Saccharomyces cerevisiae S288C: one gene and its partners. The protein of the gene in region 3 binds, or shares a complex with, the protein of the main gene of each other region. Each region holds a gene or a part of one and is shown on either strand. Other genes may lie near its edges.

Region 1 (3,486 bases), on a different chromosome or scaffold from region 3:
ATATAGTCATTACAATCTATTTCTATACTATACTCATGTTTATGGAAAGTTTCCGCGGATGAAACAAATATGTAATGCATCAACGAAACAGATGGTATACAATTTGACGAGCATGTCGCCACATGAACATACTTGGAACTTTTAATCAGGCGTAACAGGTCTTTTGGTATTTGTTCATTGAGTTTCATCTTTAAAGGCTTGAGAGATTTGTTTTTTTAAGGTTTACTTTCCTTTGCAGAATGTTGCATAATTTTCACTATCAATTATACGTTTTTCAGATCAGACGCCTGCAACCCTAATTTTCGCACTCTGAACTTCGTATTTATCGTTTATTCAGTATAGAAAAGGAATATCAAATTTGAAATTCTAGATAATATTTATATATATGAGGTATCTAGAAGTGCGTTAACATTAGTGTTAACTGGGCTGCACCCACTTGTGACGTTTAAATTTCTGTCCCGGGCCTTTATCGTTTCTAAGCGCTTTGGTACGTCACAAGAGTACGCCTGATATTTTGTTGTGACATTACGTGTATGACTTATTAATACAATTTTTATGGATGGATAATTAAATCAATTTAATATTACCATTTGATGAAAAAAAGAAGGGAAACAAAACAAACGGTAAAACACTGTTTATTTGAAATGAAATGAAATGAAACAATATTGGATATTGAAACGTTGATATATTGAATTGATTCAATAAGTATTATTATCAAGGCGTAGGTAGCGCTTGCAACTTTTCTTTCTTCAGTTCTGTGATTAGGTCTGCCCAGGACAGTAAAATTTCTTTACAAAGTGGGTGAAATTCGCCTAAGTCAGGATCATTAACAATTGCTTTCAGTAGCTTGTGTAATTTGCTTTCGCGTAGGGCCTTCAAATCAAAAAAGGGCCGTTTGGTGTCAGAATTCTCATATATTCTATTTAATAGTTCATGAGTTTCCTTGATCTCATGCTCAGTAGGAGGTGTTTCTCTCTGGATTAGATTTCTTTGAATCCTGCGGCGAAATAACTGTGAAATTTCTACTCTTCTGGAATAGTCTAATTTAACTTTCTTTTTATTGCCACTGTTTGATTTTCCTCCCGAATTAGCTGTGGGTCTCTTTTTTTTGGACGGTTTGATGTTCGGTTTGCTTTCTTCTTCATTTGATTTCTGGTTATCTTCCGGATCTTCTTTGATGGATATTGAATTTTTTTTTCTTTTATTCACTACTTTTGTTCGACCTACAAAGGGATCTTCTCCGGCAACGATTTTAGAACCTTCACTTTTCTCAAACGCTTTTAGATCACTTAACCTGTTTTCTTCTTCAAACTTTTCTTGTAAAAATACGTTGAAATCATCAAAATTTTTTGCTTCCTTATAAGCATTGACCAATTCCCTTTGGTTTGCATTTTTACTATGTTCTAATATGAAATTGTGAATGCTGTCTTGATCTAGCTCCTTTAATCTACTGGGTTGTTCCCAATAATAAGTTGGATCGTTGAAAAAACAAACAGCAACACAATTGGATTTTCTCTTTCTATATACATCGTTTCGCAGCAAACGCTGTGGAAATACTACAGCTGGCCAAGGTGGAAACGAGCCAACTTTGCATAACACTAAATCGCCTGTTCTAATATCTTTTGTCATAAACTTGCGGACCAAACCAGGGATAGCTAATATCACAAAAGAAATGGAAGTAAAAACAGAAAAAAATAAAAGGGAAAAAAAGCCAGGAGGAGCAACGACTGTAGGTCCTAAAAGAATGCTTGTGAAACTTCCAATATAAGCTTACCAGTAGTCAACTCACAATATGCAATAACAAATATCTGAGAGAAAAATAGATATGTCCAAATCTCTCTGCAGAACTTAACGAAACGTATATTGATATTTTAGCCCCTTTGATGTATTTTTTACAACAGAAGCAACTTTTGTTTATTTACCATTGATTGATTATTCTAGAAAATCAAAAAAAAAAAAAAAAATAAATAAAATAGAAAAGAAAAATACTATAATTATTACCCGCCATTGGATGTTTCAAAGTTCAATTAAGAACAGCTTACCGTAATGTAAATGGAGAGAGACCTTGTTTCTTCCGTATTGTACCAAACTATCAATCTGGAAGAAATCAACACGCTATTGCAGAGTTTTTTAATTGGGGAAGTTTAAGCCATTTTCATTGATAGGTGGTTGAAATAAGGTTATCATCCAAGGCGACTGATAGGGTTTTAAAATGTCCGAATAGTTTAATTTTGCTGCTACTCACTTTACAGTGCGACGTTATTTCTTTTATCTGTTCATTCCCTGACACACCGATGTAACTCTGAGGATTTATCCTACAAGTTATTTTTGTTATCGGAACATGCAGATTGTAAAGATCAGCTATTGCAAATTGGTGAATACAAGTGCCCTCAGAATCGCTCAGTCCTGCTCACACATAAATGCAGACGTTATTATGCTTTCTTGAAGTAAAAATTGATGATTATTAGTTGAATAGTAGTCGCTTTTCCGAAGATGTTACTTGTTAAAATAAAAATCAATTATAACCTATTGACTAGTATTCTCACTACTAGTATACTGCCATACACAATGTAAAGAGTATAACGTAAATGAGGAGTTGACACGAAAGAATTGATAACGTGATGGTGTTGGAACGAAACCCTATCATCATCTATTGACCAGTGTTCATGTTACAAGTGTATTATCATATGCGGTATAAAAAGACGACATAAAGATTGAGAAACAGTCATCTGACTTAATGGAAGCTGAAATGCAAAGATTGATAATGTAATAGGATAAGTAAGCATATAAAACGAAAGGAAAAATAATTGTAATATTATAGTGCAGGACTACCGATTCCACTTTGAGGATTCATATGTCCTCGAGAAGAACTTCAGCATATCCTGCATACATAATGTTATTGCCTTTATCAACTATGGAATTTTAACAATTATCACAAAATTCACCTAGTTCTCAGATCTTTTTTCCAACGATTACTACTGAGGATTGTTTGCCTTAGTTATCGTTCAAATGCTGTTAGCTATTTCCCTAATTAATAACAAGTGCTTGAGATGTCTTATATTTATACTACAGGTTATGGTTTTCGTGTGACCTTGTTTTGACGTCCTTTTCATGGTCTCTTGGCCCAGTTGGTTAAGGCACCGTGCTAATAACGCGGGGATCAGCGGTTCGATCCCGCTAGAGACCATTATTTTTTTTACTTTAAGTAAATAATGGGCATTACTAATGGAAGACCTATATGATGTTTTTTGTTCTTCGAATCCTAGGTATTTCAATGTAGTACAGCAATAAAGGTCTGAAACATGGTAACATATTGATATGTATGATGCTACATTAAGAGATATGAAAAACTATAAATTTTTTTTGAATGTTTTTAACGAAGTTCTTCAGGCTCCGTGTAGGAATTATAAGTTGTGAGTTGCTTCAGTGGTGAAGTGTCGTCAGCAATTTTATTCTCCTTAGAATTTCTTTTCAATTTATTACCAA
Region 2 (2,934 bases), on a different chromosome or scaffold from region 3:
CAAGCTTCTTGAAGAATCGAAAGGTCTTCTCGATGTTTGAAAGTTTGGGGCAGCCAGAATTTCTAAAACGGAGGATCCAATAATTCTATGAAACAATGAAGATTTGAATGAACGAAATTTAATCAGGTTTGACCAAAAATTCAGCCATTTATAGGAAAGGGATAAATGGTTCAAATTGTGAATGGAAACTAGGCAATCCTTTTTGATACAAATTGGAATATCTGGTTGAACAGTGATAGATGCAATTTTACCATTTTCGTCTACTAGCCTGAAACGGGAAGTCGCAATATCCTTGCTTAAGTTCTCGATATATGTCCTTTCTTTAGTTACGACATTACTCTCCGTCTTGGCCGCTTGTGGGCTCAAAAGAGAAATTGATCTCTGCCAAACTCGAGTATTCACCCTTGGGCTTATCATGATGGGTGGATATCCTTTTCTGTGCTTCTGTTTTGTTTATCTGTATCCGTTTATTCGCCAGCCAATAAAATGACTGGGAGCACGGGACCTTTGAAATTTTGCCCTTGTTAGTAAATCGTTATAAAAATACTTATATAGATATTTTATAGAAAATGAAAAATAAAAGAAATAGCCAATATGTAGGTATATCGAACTTAAAGGTCACCTGTCGAAATCATTTCCTTCTTCTCTCTTTTTCTTTTCAATCAGATGTTTTAGAGCGGTCAAGCAACGTAAATACCAACGTGTGCTATCGCATTAGTCGTTTTGTGATTGGCCATGCTGCTGCTTCACGTACGTAGCACTACTTAATGAAAAAATACGATCATTGTTATTGAATGCAGAATCTGCATGGCTGTGGTGTGACTTGGAGAAGGTATCAAACCCTTTTATGATGTTACCAGAATAGTGTGATTTTGACCCATGGGCTCCCCCATGACCTGAATGGTTGTTATTACTATTGTGTGAGAAATACTCGGTCTCTTTATCATATATCTCTTGTTGTAAGTTGTCAAAGGTATCTTCTTGCTCTCTTCTATCTTGGAGGGACTTTTTTAGTTCCGCTTTCAATGCTTCATAACTTTTCAGCTCATCAGTCATTTTCTTCTAGGCGTAGGTTGGTAACAAACGGAAAGATGATGGAAAATGGCTGTTCTCTAAAGATGTTTATCTTACGTATATTCTTTGCTTTCGTTGTGGCTTTACACACCTTTAATCATTAATTTAATGGCATAGTCGGCAAGTTGTTGAAGGACCTGGGTTAATCGCCTACATGTGAGGTTTTTTTAAAAATATCAATTACATTTAAAAAAGGAAAGCAGTAGTACCAAAAATCGGGCAAAAAAAATTTACCTAAATAAAGGAATGCATAAATGAAGCCGTTTAATCTTTGTATTTAATGAGAATATTACATATGAAGGTCTCTTGAGAAAGCATCAATAGTGGACATTAGCTACCTTTTAAATAAATGAACGGGTATGTCACCCATGGGTTCAAACTCTTCATCATCCTCGTCTTCACTGCGTACTTCATCGTATTCGTAACCCAAATTTTCTTTTATGTAATAGTGATCTTTCTTACTTTTCCTCTTTTCCAAAAGGTCATCGAATTCGTCCTCTTCCATATTCATTTGATTGAATTTGTTAAGTATTCTTTGTAAGAATGGTGTGTTCTCCCCAGCAGTTGCCGTGGTATTAGCATTCTTCATAGTATTCCTTGGGGGTAGCAAGGGAGGACCCGATGTTGGAGTTGATTCTGAACTACGGCTTGGAGCAATATTTTGCATACGTTGTGACCGATTAGGCGGAGGGTTCGGTTTACGATTGGGTAGAGTGTTATTTATGTTGCTATTAACATTATTATTGGGCTTACTAAAAAAATCGTTTATACTCTTTTTTCCCTTGAGCATATTTGGTGAATTATTTACGTCCACAAATGTCTGTTGAATTCTTTTGGTAAAAGTAGAGAGGTATTCACTTGGGTTCTGGTTACCTAATTTCTGTTGTCCATTTCGGGGCAGTGTATCTTTGAACTGTAACTCTAATTGTTTTAATTCTTTTTGGGCGACCTCTAATTTGAAACTAAGTTCATTGATTTCTCTGTGTTTTGCAGCTAATTTATATATTAAATCTTGGTCTGTTGAAATCGGACTTGCGTGGTCGCTCACGGGTGACTGATTTGTCGTAGATCTTTGCGGACTTGATATAGGTATAGCAAGTCTTTTGGGCTTTAAAGGTGTCGTAACCCTTGGTGATTTTGATTCAGGCTGCACTTCATGTTGTTTTTGATGCGGCTGTTGCTGCTGTCCTTGGGAGTGTTTATCGACAATCGACAGCTTATGTAATTCAATTGGTTGACTAATTACACGCTGGTCTTCTGACATTACTTTAGGGCGTATGTATGGATGTATTTTGTATTGCTTTTGGCTAGTTAGTAGTATTCCTCAATCGTATTGTTTTTGATTTTGAAAAAGCTAACGATAAAGGTCAGGAAAAAAAAAGAAAATTGTATGTAAAGGAATGTCTGGAGAGAGTTACACAGGAACAGAAAGGTCCAGCAACGGTTTCTACAACCAATCATGGATGTTGATATAGGATGTTATTTTGAAGAGAAACGCTATGACGACAAACTGTTAGACTTCATCAGATATGACGTTAAAACACCTAAAAAGACTAAATATATACTACAAAGGCCTACGGCGACAGATGAAGAGAGTGTACGATTACAAAGGTTTTACCAATTAGGAGTAGATCTAAAATTGAAGTATTCCAAGCGGAGGTCATTGAAGAAGCAAGGGCGGATCAAGAATGCTACTGAGGAATTGCTGCGATTAGCCAATGAACAGTTGAAACTTTTCAACAGAATAGTAGAAAGAGAAACCAATTGGATAATTTATCCGCTGTGGGTAATGGCTAAACAATTAATTCGTCTGGCAAACGAATCTAGTGAACTTAATAAAGACTCAATTGAGGAATGTGG
Region 3 (9,553 bases):
GTGAACACCTATTGTGTGATACAGCTTTAACGGGCTAAGATCTTTGACGCTGCTTACCAACTCAATGGCACTTTGAGACTCCGCTATGGATGATCCTGTAACAAGGGCATTTTTCACGTGCCTCTGAGCAGCACGCTCTAATAATTTTACATAATCTGCTGGATGGTACTGCTTACCATTGTAAATACCGTGAAACATAGGATCTGTCAGATTCAATCCAATATCATAGTATTTCAGCGGAGAATCCGTGGCAGTTGATGTCATGCTATAATATTGTGTCAAAATTGGTTTCCAGAGCCTAGAACAACTTTTGTTCGAGGATTTCAATAAGATGCCCCACATATAACTATAACAGTACTGGCGCCTCAAAAAAATGCCTTGGCAGCGAAAGTGTCCACCTTTAGTTGTCCATTGCTACCAGGACATCACCACTGGGCCCTTCCAGCATGCTGGAAAGATTGTTCTTAGAAGAGTGCTGTTCTAAGTAACCCGGCGTTAGTAGGGGCTAAGCCTTCTAGAAGGCCGGAAAAGGCTCAGAAATGCCTGCAGTGCAAAGCTTTTCAGGAACGTTACTAGCGCAAGTCTTCTGGCTGCTGTTTAGCAACCTCTTTGCAGGTATTTCGCAGCGGGATTTCGCAGGTGTCTTGCCTAGCGTATCAACACTTAGTAGCAGTTAGGTTCTAAAGTTAAACTCCACTTCCGTTCTTCTTCGAGTTCCTTTTTGAGCGGTTTGGCCTATCTTGTCTCATCATCTTGTTAGTGTGCGACGTTATCTGTGGGTGAGAGAGGCTATTTTTGGTCCGGTGAAAAAAAAATTTTTTCTCTGCTGAGAGCTGAAATTTGAAAATTGAGATGAGATGCGATGCGATGAGATGCGAGACCAATGCGATGAGACACTTTTCTACTTCCTTACACAGAAGTCGTGTATAGTTTTTGTACGTTGATATTAATAAAGGCTTTTCATATCATTTTGTTTTCAGGTAAACAAATCTGGCAAATCTCCACTGCTTGAGTCATTAAAACTACTCACTCAAGAAGGCATATACACGACAGTGGGTAGAGAAAAGAATATATCACTGTTCTTATTGAAGTTCCCTCGCGATGACGTTGCCGAAACTCAGTAGCGTTTCTGTTTCATCAGGACATGTTAGTGCCAACTCACATGGTTTCTCAATACTAAGCAAACACCCTCACCCAAATAATCTTGTCCATTCCCACTCACTTTCTCACACAAATGCGAAGAGCCACCTGCCTATCAGTAGCACTAGCACTAAAGAGAACAGCACGAACAAGGAGGAGGCGGAATCACTCAAAAAAAACAACCCCTCTTCTTGGGACCCTAGTGATGATATCAAGCTCCGCCACCTGAAAGAGATCAAGAACTTGGGCTGGAAGGAGATTGCACATCATTTCCCAAATAGAACTCCTAACGCTTGTCAATTCAGATGGAGGAGACTGAAATCAGGCAACTTAAAGTCTAACAAGACCGCAGTTATTGACATCAATAAGCTATTCGGCGTGTATGCGACTGGTGATGCTACCCCATCCGCGGGTACTCCGTCTGCGGAAGAAGCCGTAAAAGAGGAAGCTGTTGAGGATGAAGATATTACTGCAGGTTCTAGTGCTATCGAGGATTCTCCACCGGATTTCAAGCCATTAGTTAAGCCTAAATACATGGACAGAAAACTGATAACTCAAAGATCTACATCAACATTTTCGGACCATGAGCCACAACACACGAAACCAAGGAAACTGTTTGTTAAGCCAAGGTCCTTCTCTCATTCTATAACAACCAACACGCCTAATGTAAAGACTGCTCAGCAGACAAATCTAAGCCTTTATAACACTACTTCAGCAAAGACAAATAAAGCTGTTAATTCCAATGATTATGAGAATATTGGTCTTGTGCCTAAAATTATTATCAGGTCTAGAAGGAACTCCTTTATTCCTTCAACTCAAATCCCTCATTCAACGACGAAGACTAGGAAAAACTCGCATTCCGTAATTTCTTCTAGAAGATCATCTTTTAACATGATGCATTCAAGAAGATCATCCTTCAACTCTCACGCTCCTACGGAGCCTATTTCTAGAAGAGCTTCCTTGGTAGTTAGCCCGTATATGTCACCCAGAAGGTTATCTACATCGCAATCCGTTCATTATCATCCACAGCACCAATACTATCTTAACCCCATAGCGTCTCCCAACTGCAAGACAGACCACGCAAATGACAAAATCACGCACACGAGGACTTTCTTAGATATGCAAAAATTCGCTAATAAACACCCGTGGTCTAGAGAAGATGATGAAGTGCTACTTAACAATACGAAGGACAAACAAAACCATTTGTCGCCGCTAGAAATTTCTATTGTTCTGCCTAATAATAGATCCGAGTTGGAAATCCAACAAAGAATGGATTATTTAAAGAGAAAAGGACGTGTAAGTGGTTTTCATACAAATGAAGGATGCAAAGACGAGGAGGAGGAGGATGACATTGACCCACTGCACAAGGAGAATGGCATTAACACGCCATCGCAGCAATCGCAAAATTACGGTATGTTAGAGGCTAAACATGATAATCCAAAGTCTAGTGAGCTTTCTTCTATGACCAGCGCAAATGACATACGCAATGAGCAAGATGAACTTCCAGGTATAAATTCTATCTTTAAAAATATATTTTAAGCTAAGAGACGAATTTAGTTTGTTTTGACTATTCGTTTAATGAGTACAAATTAATCGCACCCACACATGTACACACACACATATATATCTTTATATATACACATAAAATTTATTCGTAGGAGAATTCTGTAATACTATTGACTACAAGGGTTCTTATTGCTATTAATAATGTTACATGTATATGCTTATATCCAATATATACCCATCGCCGCTTATTCTTCGTCATCCTCTATTAGAGTTATTTTTCTTCTTTTTCTGACTCTCTCCTTCCTTATGTGGCTTTCTATATCGTTTTCATCCTGCTCTTGTCCTTTTCTCTTCCCATCCTCATCATCATCACTGTCTTCTTCATATGTGTCTTCCTCCTCATCATTTTCTTCTGATATTTGCTCATCCTCAATGTCATCATCAAGGGTAAAGTCTTCGTCTTCGTCTTCATCTTCTTTGGCGTTTTCACCTACATATAATTCAGTATCTACATCGTTTTCTACTTCATCCTGCTCTAAACTTGATATTCCAGTATCGTTTCTCCTAGCTGCATGATTTCCAAGTGGTGTTTCGGAGTTTTTAATAGTGAAGCAGAGCTCCCAATGAGTTTCTGTACTAAATTTTGATCTTGGTATCCCTTTGCGATCATGGATGCTTTCCAGCACTCTTTTTTCCGCTTGATAGATTAATCTATCATTATTTGTGTTCTTATAATCACACATATACTCTGTTAAGGAGGAAACAGTGTCTTCAAAAAAATCAGTAGCAGGTACTTCCGGTTCTATGATATTGTTTACATGAAGCTTGGATGTTTTGTGCTCACTACTTCTTCTTCTTCTTCTTCTGCGTTTATTATGTGCTCTACTGTTGTTATAGTTTTCTATATGTGTGTTATTCGAAATTACCGGAGCCATAGTTTCATTTGTAAGAGCTTCGTCCGCTAATGCGGTGGGTTCTAAGTTCATCATCCCATTTATACCAAATGACGGCCCTAATATAATAGGTTCCCACAATAGTTTGTCATATTTGACGCGAGGATAGTTTTTTGAGCTCCAAGTTTTGTAAATATTTTCAATCCTGTTCCAAGAATCGATTTTAATAATATAGTTGAAATCATCCAAACTGGATAATGAGCGTGTTTTATGGCGATACAAAACTTGAAGTTGTTCCAATCCAAACACAACGTCTGTTGGTATCATTCCTGTTAGTTTAGCGATATCGTTTAGGCTAACCTGCTGAAAAGTATCTTCATTTTTATTATTTGATCGACGTCTAGCACTGTCTCTTAATTTTAATAGCACTTCAGCACATTTTATCTTCCAAAACGTTCTGTAAGTCAATAATCCTAAATCCGACAATGGTTTTTCAGGAGTTCCAAATTTTGACTCCTTTCTGGATAATAAATATGAAAATTCCATCAAAAACTGACCATATCCTTTCCTCTGGTATATGGGTAGAGTTAAAATACAACTTAGGTTATAGTCATTGGAGTTGAATTTTTCCTTGGAGAAATAGCCTACGAAATGGAATTTGGCTGCGTTTTGATAGGGATGGTTCTCTGTATCCTCTCTCTCCGTTAGAATATAGAATATAAACGGTTCAACATCGTAATACAAAGTCTTAGAATTGATAAAACATTTTGCCAACAGGCAAAGATTTTGACAATACAAGACATTCTCCCGCCCATCAATTTCCCAAACAGACAGCTTACCGTCGCGATAAATTTCATTTCCGGGGGGCTTAAAAGTTAGACACTTTAGTTGGTGTCTATAAAAAGTATATCGAGAAGTCATATATTTTAGGCAGAACTCACATATAAAAACCATTTTATTTTGGTTGATGTGTTCCGGAAAAGGAGATGTATACCAAGGTTTAATTTCATAATTTCGAAGAACAATGTATTCTATCTGGGAAAACCACACTTTATTTTTGATTCTTGGTACTTTCCCTTTCCTTTTTTTCCTATCTTCGTTTTCTTGATCGGTTTCATTATGATTGCAAAGTGATACGTTACCATTAATGTACGTTGCAGACTTAGAGTTTTCTAAAAATGTAAGAAACTTTATTTTATCTTCCCAGGTGGGTAAAGTTCTTTTTGTACTGAAATCTTTCATTTTTTTTATTGTTCCGCCGTATGGTACGTACCATTGCCAAGAATCGTTATCCCTGAATGGCGTATTATCAGAAGAATATGGGTACTCCATGTTTTCGGTTGCTAGATCCCATGTTTGCTTTAACCTGTTAACTCTTCTTTGAAACCCGATTAGAGGACCGGATGATGTTATATTTTTGTTAACTAAAGGTGCTATGACTGAAGATTTAGATATTAGTCTTTCAAAATTGAAAAATTTGATAGAATCATACTTAATTCTAACCTTCAACTCCTCGCTGACTTCAATATTAGGTTCAATAATGGGGAAACTTACTGCTCCCATCTTATTGTCCCTATTAACGATATTTTGAGAAGAATTTTCTGACGCAAGTTTGGACTGCTGGGAAATCAACCCTTTTTTTATTTTATTAAGGCCTTTATCAGACCGAACACTTCCTCTTATTCGATGTGATATACTGGCATCGGAGTTGAATAGTCGTCTTGTAGTTCTATGTCCATTTGTATCGCTTCTGACAAATTGAGAATGTATCAGATCATCGATCTCTAAGTTTTTCAATAATGCATTTTTTTTGGGTTTTGGCGATTCGTCGTTTGCTGTTAATGACATTATCTGCAAATTATACGGAGACTAATTAATGAAGAAGGAAGAAGAGAGAGGGCGGTATGAATAACACCTATGAGAAAAGAATAGCAATGCTTTTCCTTTTTTACCTTTTATATTCGTTCTTTCTTCTTTTGCCTCTTTTAATATGCTTTGTTTCTGTGCTATTTTCCCGACTCTTTATTTCAAACAATGAAGCCCCCAATTAATCAAGAACCACCAAAATAGCATGTCAGTTGAACACTCAACGACTAAAAAAACGAATAATTTCTTGTTCAATTGGCCTGAACGTTTGACTATGAAACTTTCTGCTCTTCTCTGATCATTGTAAACAAAGAAATGTCAATAAATTATTGTTACCCGACTTTCTATATACTACAAATACCGCCAATGATGCAGTGAGCAAGATATCAATTAATGCAAAAACAATATCGAGTAAGGTAGAAACATCTCTGTGATTAAACATCGTACATATAAATACCATATATAAAAGTATGTGGGAAAAGAACGTTCAAAAAAAAAAAGTAAGTAGTAGGTTAAAAATAAAATCTCAAAAGAGGGAAAAAAAAAAAAGAGGGATAATTTTGGCTTGATTACATTGCGTTACTTAAAGTAGCCTCATCATTCATTCATTATCATCGTTTCATCGACATTAGGTGACGTTTCTCAGTAAAAATTAACTTCATCATGATCATTAATTTCATATTCATATTCGGTTATTTTTTTTTTTTTTTATATTTTTTTTCAATGGTGTTTTTGATGGTTTTTATTATATATATATATTTTTTTATCTTTTATCTTGTGTAAGCACCCCTCATTACTTGTATCGTGCGATATACAAATACCAAACAAACTCTATAATCATAGAATAATGGAAGTATATATTACCATAGATTCTTCTTGTTTTGGTTTTGTAAATCCAGTCCGCTTAAAGAACGATTCAAGCCCTGTTCCAAGCCATCATCTAGTCCAGAGTGACTCAAAGATTTATAGATCAAGTCGGCACTATTCAAATTGTGTGCGGACAACATGGACTCATCGTGATAAGACTGATATGAGAAATTAGAATGTACTGAGCCATTTGTGTGCTGTGGAAGCAGTTGGGACTGTGAGTTTGCTGAAGATGGGCCGTTAAGGTTGTACAACTGCTGGGAAGACAATGAAGCATTTTGGTATGCCACTGGTACCCGTTGTTGAGTTTGGGACTGTGCTGGTGGTTGCGCTTGGGATAGGGTTTGGCTGTTGATTGGGATTTGTGAATTTGGAGGTGAAATTTGAGAATTTCTCAGTAAGGGATTAACGGAATTGATTTGATAATGGTTGGCAGAATAACCGGATGGAATTCTTGAGGATGGTGTTAAAGTAGCTTGTTGTCTTAAAAAAGATTGTTGTTGTTGCGCAGCTGACTGAACATTTTGCTGTGTTTGTGGTTGAGGTTGTTGCGGTTGGTCTGCGGAATTGTATTGAGAACTATGGTGTATGTTCATTTTAGGTGAGGTTAGTGTTGGTTGCATGGAGAATTGTCCCTGTGAAGAAATTTTTGGTGTTGAGCTGGCGCTATTGTTATTAATGATGACATTGTTACCGTTACCGTTATTACTGTTAATAGTATTGCTGTTGGAAGAATTGTTAACGGCCTGATTGCTAATACTATTCGCTGCAGCTGCTGCATGGGCCTGTAACAAACTTGTATAAGATTGTGACCTATTCATGGAGCCGCCAGTGGAGTTTGGCTGCAAAGGATGAGCAGATGTCATTTGACCTTGTTGTTGCAAATGAGATTGTAAATTAGCATGATCCAGAATCTTTCTTCTGATAATAATAAATCTTGGATCATATACTTCTACTAGCCCTAAGTACGAGCACAAAACATTGATAATTCTCTTGTGGGAAGCGGATATACCCATGGGATAAGCCAACTCGTAATAATACTTTTCTCTATCCTTAAATAACAATAATTGGGAATAAATTTCCAAAGTGTCAGGGTCATTGAAGTCCAGTTGTTGGGGTGGGAGAGGCAAAGTGGAAGTTGATGGTAAAGGCGCATAAAATCTCTCAGTGGACATCTGGGCTTGATTATTAACGTTTGTTTGGTACAACGATGAAGAAGTATGTTGGGCAGAAAGTGAAGGTTGGTTCAGAATGATGTTACCACTATTGTTGTTATTAGAACTGTTATTGTTAATGGTATTATTCATTGGACTGTTCATCATGCTATTAGCATTAATGCCGTTCATTAGAGTCGAGAATAATTGATTGTTAGAAGTATTATTGTTTCCGCTTCCACTCATTTTAGATAAAGAATCCAAAGAAAGATTAGATGACGATCTGTGTTGTTCTTCTAATTGTCCTCTTTTCTCTCTCTTCTCCCTCTCGATTCTTTCTCTTTCAGCTTGGGGAAGCATTTTTTTATATTCCACTTTCAATTTCCTCCCGCTGATTTCCTTTCCATTCAAAGAAGTTATCACTTGAGTAGTTTCTTCAGGAGTGGTGAAATTCGCAAAGGCTAGTCCTCTGAAAATACCGTTATCAAAGTGGTAATTGAAGGCATAAGGAAGGGGAAGATCCATTTCTTCAATAATGTCTAACAATTGCTCTTTTTTAATAGCAAACGGAATGTTTTTAATAACAATAGCATTTGGGATAACATCATCGTCCAAAGCACCATTGGTGGGGGCATTATTCAAATTTGTAGAAGAAACGTTTTGTTCGGCATTTTTTGCAGAGTTCTCACCAGTTTCCGTTTGCACACCGTTTTCTTTGTCAATTGCATCTCTAGTTTCGATAGATTGCTGATTTGTTTCCTGGTCATTAGTCTCCGTATTTATATTATTATCCTGAGCATCATTGATGGCTGCAGGAGGAGCATTCTCAAAAGAACTGGTCTCCATTTCTTATTGTTGTTGAACACGCTTTCCCTAGTCTGTAGCCTGCCTCTATGAGTACTATATCACACTTCTTCTTGCGCTAATCTCCAAAGACCTGCTGGTAATCTCAGCTGAAAGGCTGCCTTTAATTGTTATTCTTTTCCAGGAAAAAATCGCAAAGTTGCAGCATCCGTGTTTCGTGACATCATTGAAGGTTACCCTAATCTATTACCTCGGATTAACTTGAATTAATAAGGACACACAGGTATAGGGAAGGTAAAGTTGAAGTAATGATAAGAAGTGGGCAGCACCGAAGCAGTTTATCTGAACTAACTTCTGTACGACTCGAGAATATAGTAAGAACACCATCATTAACCTGAAAGTTAAAAATGTCAGACCCTGTAGAGTTATTGAAAAGAGTATGTAGTAGGGAAATATATCAAAGGAACAAAATGAAAGCTATGTGATTCCGTAATTTACGAAGGCAAATTACTAACATTGAAATACGGGAATTGATATTTCCCGTTGTGTTAAGGCTGAGAAGAAGGGTGTTCCTTCATCGGGTTTCATGAAATTGTTTAGCGGTTCTGATTCATACAAGTTTGAGGAGGCTGCTGATCTTTGTGTCCAAGCAGCCACCATTTACCGTCTAAGAAAAGAGTTAAACTTGGCAGGAGACTCGTTTTTGAAAGCTGCTGACTATCAGAAAAAGGCTGGTAATGAAGACGAAGCAGGAAATACCTACGTAGAGGCTTATAAATGCTTTAAAAGCGGTGGAAACTCTGTGAACGCCGTGGATTCATTAGAAAATGCTATTCAAATTTTTACTCATAGGGGGCAGTTCCGGAGAGGTGCTAATTTCAAGTTTGAGCTTGGAGAAATTCTAGAAAATGATTTGCATGACTATGCAAAAGCTATAGATTGCTATGAGCTCGCTGGTGAGTGGTATGCCCAAGACCAGTCGGTAGCATTATCGAATAAGTGTTTTATCAAATGCGCAGATCTAAAGGCTCTTGACGGTCAATATATTGAAGCAAGTGATATATATTCGAAGTTGATCAAGAGCAGCATGGGCAATAGATTGAGCCAATGGAGTTTGAAGGATTACTTCCTAAAAAAAGGGCTTTGTCAGCTAGCTGCTACTGATGCAGTCGCTGCTGCAAGAACTTTACAAGAGGGTCAAAGTGAAGATCCGAATTTTGCGGATTCAAGGGAGTCAAATTTCTTGAAAAGTTTAATCGATGCTGTTAATGAAGGTGATAGCGAGCAGCTAAGCGAACACTGTAAGGAGTTTGACAATTTTAT

The links. Proteins that work in one complex are often made in the same cells at the same time.
Region 1: SAS3 (region 3) and PDP3 share a complex: the UniProt entries of both Saccharomyces cerevisiae proteins name them as parts of the nuA3 histone acetyltransferase (HAT) complex.
Region 2: SAS3 (region 3) and EAF6 share a complex: the UniProt entries of both Saccharomyces cerevisiae proteins name them as parts of the nuA3 histone acetyltransferase (HAT) complex.

What each region holds. Positions count from the first base shown.
Region 1 is NC_001144.5:1,051,772-1,055,257, reverse strand, and holds PDP3 (Pdp3p), read right to left. Parts: upstream 1,630-3,486; coding exon 715-1,629; downstream 1-714. Other genes in the region: YLR456W (pyridoxal 5'-phosphate synthase), read right to left, coding at 1-188; FMP27 (Fmp27p), read right to left, coding at 3,374-3,486. UniProt on the Saccharomyces cerevisiae protein: Histone-binding component of the NuA3b histone acetyltransferase complex. Targets the NuA3b HAT complex via histone H3K36me3 to the coding regions of actively transcribed genes to coordinate transcription elongation.
Region 2 is NC_001142.9:581,200-584,133, forward strand, and holds EAF6 (Eaf6p), read right to left. Parts: upstream 1,057-2,934; coding exon 715-1,056; downstream 1-714. Other genes in the region: YJR079W (uncharacterized protein), read left to right, coding at 1-40; AIM24 (Aim24p), read right to left, coding at 1-417; ACF4 (Acf4p), read right to left, coding at 1,409-2,338; YJR084W (uncharacterized protein), read left to right, coding at 2,534-2,934. UniProt on the Saccharomyces cerevisiae protein: Component of the NuA4 histone acetyltransferase complex which is involved in transcriptional activation of selected genes principally by acetylation of nucleosomal histone H4 and H2A. The NuA4 complex is also involved in DNA repair.
Region 3 is NC_001134.8:116,488-126,040, forward strand, and holds SAS3 (histone acetyltransferase), read right to left. Parts: upstream 5,388-9,553; coding exon 2,892-5,387; downstream 1-2,891. Other genes in the region: YBL055C (3'-5'-exodeoxyribonuclease), read right to left, coding at 1-342; TOD6 (Tod6p), read left to right, coding at 1,102-2,679; PIN4 (Pin4p), read right to left, coding at 6,266-8,272; alpha-soluble NSF attachment protein SEC17, read left to right, coding at 8,638-8,667, 8,784-9,553. UniProt on the Saccharomyces cerevisiae protein: Catalytic component of the NuA3 histone acetyltransferase complex, that acetylates H3K14. The NuA3 HAT complex has 2 functionally distinct forms.